Linked DNA regions of Oryctolagus cuniculus. The protein of the gene in region 1 interacts with the protein of each later gene in a biochemical or structural test. Links are inferred from orthologs where the notes say so. Each region holds a gene or a part of one and is shown on either strand. Other genes may lie near its edges.

Region 1 (3,567 bases):
GTCACAACCCACCAGATAAACTTTGAAAACCACAAGTGGATCAAGAACAACAATTTAAAAAGATACTGGTCTAAAAGACTGAGTTCTGTAAAGGCTGCAACTGATCTTGGGTGGGTTTGAAGAAGGAGGCAACACTAAGTCTTACCAAATGGCTCAAGAGATGATTCTGTAACAAAGGAGTGCTGTAGAGCTGTGTTGAGGCACATGATTTCCTTACATTGATGAGACACACAGTAGCCAGCCACAGCTGGAAGCCTTTTTTACCCAGTTTCTATTCAGGCTTGAGACCTGGTGTACCTGTGTATTGCATATTCTTTTGGAAGGAGGACAAGGAGAAAATTTAGGTTTCTGAAAGGTGAATGGAGGTAACTTGATACTGATTTGATTTTCTTCTATCTTGTCTTTTAGGAATTCAAAAACACACTAACCAGGTGAGTGAGCCTAACACTTTCTTGGGCCTCTCTGTGCTGCTCTTCTCCTTTCTCACTGAGAACTCTCTTTGTTTTTCATCTCCTGGCCTCTTGTTTGCTGGTCCCTTCAGCTTGCTTACCTGGCCCCTTTCTGAGGTGGCTTCAGCTTGCTTACCTGGCTCCCTTCTGAGGTCCAGCTTTCTCTTTTCCACCTTTCTGCCAAGAGGACCATGTCATCCTAGTCTTCATAGCCCAGGGGGCATGAGATACTGTTCTTGGGCCTTCCTCAGGGTCCCTGTCCTGCAGGTGCAGCAATGTGCCTGGCCCCAAGCCAACTACAGTCTCTTCTGAGTTGAAGAATAAGGTCTGGAATGTTTCCCTCAAGACTTTTGTCTTAAAAGGGCTGCTGAAGAAGTTCAAAGGTAGGGGCCTTGGTGTGGGTCAGGCCATGAAATGTGGATGGCAGTGGTGTGTGTGGTACTTCAGGGGTCCTGAGTGTACCTTTTCCAGAACCTGTGAGAGAAAACAAAAACTGGGGTGTGGGGAGGCCCTGGTGGGAAATCTATTCAGCTTCCCTAGGACACAGAAGAATGAGGAGGAAGAGCTAGGTCAGACCAGCTCCAGGCAAGAGAGGGAATTGGGGGAGGCAGAACTAAAATGCCTGGGCAGCTGCCCCCACCTACCCCTCTCATGCTTGGTCCAACAGCTGCATATCAACTCCTGGTCTCTAGAATACCTAGGGAGGGAGGGAGCTGATGGAATTTAAATGTCAGAAAAGGTGGCGTCCTTGCCAGGCAATCTCTTTTGTCATTTGTACTTTGAATTTTTCCCTTAGAGGATCTTCGAGGAGAACTGGAGAAGGAGGAGAAAGGTATGGACAGGGATTACGATGGTGAGTGCAGAATCCATTTCCTGCCTGTGACTTGCCTCAAGGACCCTGCCAGTCTGCTTTCTTGTTCCTTTTGTCCTTGCCCTGTCAATTTTGATGACCTCATCAAGCAGTGGGGCCTGTTGGCCTGTAAGCTGTGGGTCAGTTAGGAGTAGGATTAGGGGAAGCTTGTCAATTGTCTGGATAAACCTCTGTCCCCTGTCCCTGCTTCAAGACAGAGAATGTCTCTCCTGAGGATGGGGGTTTTATGCTGACAGGGACCCCCAACAGTTCGAGGCCTGGCTGCTCCACTTTCAATCTAGCTCCCTGCTATAGCCTGGGAGGGCAGTGGAGGATGGCCCAAGTCCTTGGGCCCTGCACACACATAGGGGACCTGGAGGAAGCTCTGAGATCCTGGCTTTGGATTGGCCCAGATCTGGCTCAGGCCTTCGTGACCATTTGGGGAGTGGACAAGCAGATGGAGTATCTCTCTCTCTCTGCCTCTGCCTCTGCCTCTCTGTGACTCTGCCTTTCAAATAAATAAATAATCTTAAGAAAAAAAAAGAAAAAAATAAGTTCAGCAGGAAGTCAGGTCAGTGATCCCATATGGTAACAGGAAGGAGGATAATTCTTATTCCTGCAGAACTCTGGAATGTGTGGGATCCAAACTGAAAGGAAGGGAGTAGAAGGCACACAATCCTGATGCTGATGGACAAAGTCAGAGTTTCCCAAGGTAGAATGTAAACCAACTGAAATGATGCTCCTCTTATGCTCAGAGCCTTGCAATGGTCTTTCTCACTCAGGAAAGGCCTTCAAGTCCTTAAGGGGACTGCCCTTACTGTATACTCTCCTCTTCACTTACTCTGAAGCTGCACACCCTCCTTGTTATACCTAGAACGCACCAAGTACATACCTACCTCTGGGCCTTTGCACTGCAGTGGCTGCCTGGCTTCTTTTCTTTTCTTTCTTTTTCTTTTTTTCAGATTTTTTTGTTTGTTTGTTTGAAAGTCAGAGTTACAGAAAGAGGGAGAGACAGAGAGATCTTCCATCCACTGGTTCACCCCCAAATGGCCACACAGCTAGGACTGGACCAGGCTGAAGCCACGGGGGTCACAGATTGGAGCCCATATAGGATTCTGGCATTGCAGAGTGGCTTTACCAGCTATCCACAACCCTGACCCTACTGGCTGCCTCTTGGCCTGCAACACGCTTCCCCCAGATAGCTGCTTGGTTGGCTTCCTCATCTTTTTTATGTCTTTGCTTACCAATAAGACCTACTCTGGCCATTCAAGTTGAAATTGCAACCTGTTATCTTGATTCTTCTTAACTTCTATGTTGATCATTTATTGCCTCTTTCCCTACTAGAAAATAAGCTCCAGGAAGGTAGAGATACTTAGCTGTTTTATTCTCTGTGGTTATTTGCAGGGCCTAGAACAATGCCTGGAACATAGTAATGCTCAGAATAAGTGTATATATTCGAAATTTTTATTATGAAAAATGTGGGGGCTGATGTTGTGGCACAGTGGGTTAAACCACTGCCTGTAATACCAGCATCCCATATTAGAGAGCCAGTTCAAATCATGGTTATTCCACTTCTGATCCAGCTCCCTGCCAATGTACCTGGGAAAGTAGCAGAAGACAGCCCAAGTGGAAGTTCCAGGCTCCTGCCTCAACCTACCCTAGTCCCTGTTGTTGTGACCATTTAGGGAGTGAACCAGCAGATGGGAGATCTCTTTGTCTCTTCCTTTCTCTGTGTCACTCTGCCTTTTAATAAATAAATCTTTAAAAATTTTTAAGAATAAAAGTGGAGAAGAGAGCATAGCAAATGTATGAACTATAATATATCATCAGCAGTTATCAATTCTTGGCTAATATTTTGATAATCATCACTACCCGTTTCTTCCTACTGATTATAAAGAAAATAACAGATAACAAATCATTTCCATAAACATCCTAGTATGTTCTCTCTAAAGACAGACTTTTAAAAACAACCACAAAACTATCATCACACCTAGAACAATTAATGATTCTCTACAGTATCTAGTGTTCCAATTTCTCCAATTTTCTTTTTCATACTTTATTTATTTTCACTTTTTTAATTGAAAGGCAAAGAGACAGTCAGGGTTGGGCCAGGTTGAAGCCAGGATCCTGGAATTCTATCAGGATGTCCCACATGGGTGACAGCGACTGAGTACTTGGGCCATTATCTGCTGCCTCCCAGGATGTGCGTTAGCAGGAGGCTGGTTGGGAAGCAGGGGAACTAGGACTGTAACCAGGTGCTCAGATTTG
Region 2 (3,423 bases), on another chromosome or scaffold:
CCCTGTCCTGGGTGGTGGGTTGTCCCTTGGTTTCAGGAGGGTACTGCTATAACATGGTATACCCAGGCTGGGTGCTGTATAAAGAAGAGATTTCTTTTTTTCTTTTCTTTTCTCTCTCTCTCTCTCTTTTTTTTTTTTTTTTTTTTTTTAAGATTCTTAATTTTTATTTGAGAGGTAGAGTTACAGACAGGGAGAGACAGAGAGAAAGGTCTTCCTCTGCAGGTTTGCTCCCCAAATGACCACAACAGCTGGAGCTGGGCCGATCTGAAACTAGGAGCCAGGAGCTTCTTCTGGGTCTCCCAAGTGGATGCAGGGGCCCAAGCACTTGGGCCATCTTCCATTGCTTTCCCAGGCCACAGCAGAGAGCTGGATTGGTAGAGGAGCAGCCGGGACTTGAACTGGCGCCTATATGAGATGCTGGCACCACAGGTGGAGGCTTAGCAGACTGCATCACAGTGCCAGCCCAAGAAGAGATTTCTTTCTTTTTTAGATTATTTATTTGAAAGGTAAAGTTAGATCTTCCATTCGCTGATTCACTCCCCACATGGTGTCAATGGCCAGCACTGGGCCAGGTGAAGCCAGGAGCCAGAAGCTTCATCCAGGTCTCCTACATGTGTGCAGGGGCCCAAGTGTTTGAGCCATCTTCCCGTTTACCCAGGTACATTAGCAGGGAGCTGGATTGGAAGTGGAGCAGCCGGGACATGAACCGGCACCCACAGGGGATTCTGGCTTTACCTGCATGAGCCGGCCCAAGGAGAGATTTCTGAAGTTTGTAGTTTTGGAAACCAAAAGTCCAGGATAGCGCGGCCCCCTTGTGGGCCCTGGTGAGACGCCCTTGCCAGAAGGAAGGAAGCAGCACACTCAAGGGCCAGCCTGGCGCTTTGTAGCCAGGTCTCTTGGACAGTGTCATCCTCTCTGAGGGCAGTGCCCTCATTGCCTCCTGACGATGCGCTGTGCCCCCAGCCTCAGCTTGCAGCTGGAACCCTCAGGGACACCCTCAAGCCAGAGCAGGGAGCGTCTTCCCCATGAGAATTTCATCTGTTGTAAGAAGCAGAAGGCAGGCCAGAGTGAAATTCTTGTCTCTGCCATTTTTCTTAAATGCTGCAGGGCTGTCAGCCCCCCAAGAGCCAACAGTGGTTTCCCCAGGCTGGGGCAGCTGACTGTGGGCGGGAGGGGCTTCGGTGCTCCAGGAGCTGAGGACCGCTGCCTGCCCTGCCCCTGCAGGGACACGTGATGGACCGCAGGAAGAAGGCCCTGACCGACTACAAGAAGCTGCGGGCCTTTTTCGCTGAGGAGGAGGCGCACTTCCTGCAGGAGGCCGCCAAGGAGGAGGGCTCCCCGGAGGACGAGCAGGCCGACCCCGCCGAGCGGTTCCGCTCCCTGCTGCAGGCCGTGTCGGAGCTGGAGAAGAAGCACCGGAACCTGGGCCTCAGCATGCTGTTGCAGGTGCGGGCGGGGCGGGGAAGAGCCTGCTGGCTCCAGAGCAGACCTGAGGCTGGTGCTGAGGGGGCTGCCGGCAGGCTGACCGGCCAGAGAGCGGGCCTTAAAGCCGCACCCTGTCGTCCACTCAGCATCGAGGGTCCTGGGTGTCTCTGGCTTCTCACGGGAGAGGGCCTTTGCACCCTGAGCTCTGGGTGCTCACTGTTGGTGCTGCCTCACCCTCTGCCCTGAGGCCTGACCTCACCTGGTTGCTTGGGCTTTGCGCACCTGGGCCAGGGCTGTGGGAGGGGAGCGGGACCAGCAGCCTCCTGTGTGAGGTGCTCTTGCCCCTCCAGGTCAGTTGTGACGACTGTGGGTAGCCAGGTTTTGGCCGTGGGGGGACAGAGATCTGGGCCTGGGGGGCTCAGTGGAGGTGGAGGTGTCTCTGTGCCTCACCAGGGAGGAACTCCCGGCTCTGTCTTCTCTCTCTTGCTCTCTCTCCTGACTATCTTCTTTCTTGCTGCCTCTCTCTCTCCGCCCTCTGCTTCTCTCCAACTCTGTTTTCTGCTCCCCGCCCCATGCAGTGACGTCGCTGATGCAGCAGGCGGTTCCCTGCGTAGCTCACGCAGAAAGCACCGCCTCCCACAGCTGGCCCTCCCCTGAGACGCCACCCCCTCCATCTCCGTGGGCACCGTCAGTGATGGCCGAGGACGATGCTCCGCAGGTGCCCCCTCCCCCCGCCGCCCTGGGTTTCCCTGCACAGTTACCTGTCTCAGCAGAGTCTGGTCTTGGGGCATGGACGTGAGACTAGTTGTCGCCCCTACCCCAGGCATCCTGTTCACACTGCCCCCACAACCTGTTCTCCCGTCAGAGCCCCTGCTCCTCACCTCGTCCCCGGATGGCTGAGGTTCTTGGCTTTGCCCCAAGGGTCTCAAACCCTGTACCTTCCAAAGGGTGCCTAGGATGGAGCTGTCCCATGGGACCCTCATCCTGGCCTGGGATCCCTGGGAGGTCCCTGGGGGGAAGCCGGGACTTGAGACTTTGGGCACGGGGAAGGGAAGGTTCTCCGCCCTTCCTGCGGGTCCCCCTGCCTGCATCCCCCTCCCAGCTCCCGACTCTGATTTCTCCTCCATCTGCCCCGATGCCAAGGCCTCCCAGTGCCCCTTCCCTCCACCTTCCCCAGGGTGCCGGGGCTCCCCCATGCTTCTGCAGCCCCTCCCTGCCTCGTCTGTCTCTAGCGTTTCTCACTTGTGTTTGCAACACTCGTGGCGTGGCCATGGTGTGGCTGTGGCGCTCACATGTCATCAGCACAACTGGCAGTCGCCCAGCAGAGTCCTCAGAAAGTCGAGGTCAGGGAGCGTAGATGTGGGCGAGTGTTTAGATTCACCGCCCCTGACGTTTTCACGGGCCCTTAGGAGTCCCACCCTGACAGTCTGACCTGCTCCTGCTGCTGCGTGGGCTCTCGCTGCTAAATAAAGTGGGTTTGCCCTGGCCTGTTTGCCTGAGTCTGTGGGCAGTGTGGGTGTGTCCAGGGCCTCCCTTGCCACAACCCTTGTTAGGGACGGTGAGGCTGGGTTACCATGGGGCTGTTGTGAGAGGGACAGGGACCACTGCTGCCTGGACAGTCACCTGCACTCCAGACACAGCTGGGCAGGTGCCTTTCAGCCAGGAGCAGGGTGGGGCGTGGGTAGACGGTGACCCCTTCCTCCTGACAGAACGTGAGCTGTGAGGTGGGATTGAAGTTGCAGCTCTGAAGTCGGCTGTGTGGGGTAGAAATCTGGAGCTGAAGCCCCAAGTGCAAAACCACTGCGGGAAGAGGAATGGCCAGTCAGAACTAACTCCCACAGGGCACTGACAGTCTCTGAAGTCTGGGTTTATTTTTACAAGACTCCTTTTGTAAAAACAAGTCGACAGATTTCTTTAAAAATCAGAACGCTGGGGCTGGTGTTGCAGCACCGCAGGTTAGGCCTCCCCTAACCCAGTGCTGGTTCAAGGCCCAGCTGC

The links. The genes of interacting proteins can lie anywhere in the genome.
Region 2: the proteins of TRIM7 (region 1) and RNF187 interact in a test that uses a peptide from one of them, tested with the Homo sapiens proteins (2 studies listed by BioGRID, with this or other methods). The link is inferred for Oryctolagus cuniculus from reciprocal best matches to the Homo sapiens genes TRIM7 and RNF187.

The regions. Positions count from the first base shown.
Region 1 is NC_091445.1:34,889,188-34,892,754, reverse strand, and holds part of TRIM7 (E3 ubiquitin-protein ligase TRIM7), read left to right. Parts: intron 1-408; coding exon 409-431; intron 432-700; exon of another isoform or gene 701-716; coding exon 717-832; intron 833-1,245; coding exon 1,246-1,302; intron 1,303-3,567. UniProt on the Homo sapiens protein: E3 ubiquitin-protein ligase that have both tumor-promoting and tumor-suppressing activities and functions in several biological processes including innate immunity, regulation of ferroptosis as well as cell proliferation and migration.
Region 2 is NC_091437.1:510,673-514,095, forward strand, and holds the end of RNF187 (E3 ubiquitin-protein ligase RNF187), read left to right. Parts: intron 1-1,224; coding exon 1,225-1,446; intron 1,447-2,003; coding exon 2,004-2,006; 3' UTR 2,007-2,911; downstream 2,912-3,423.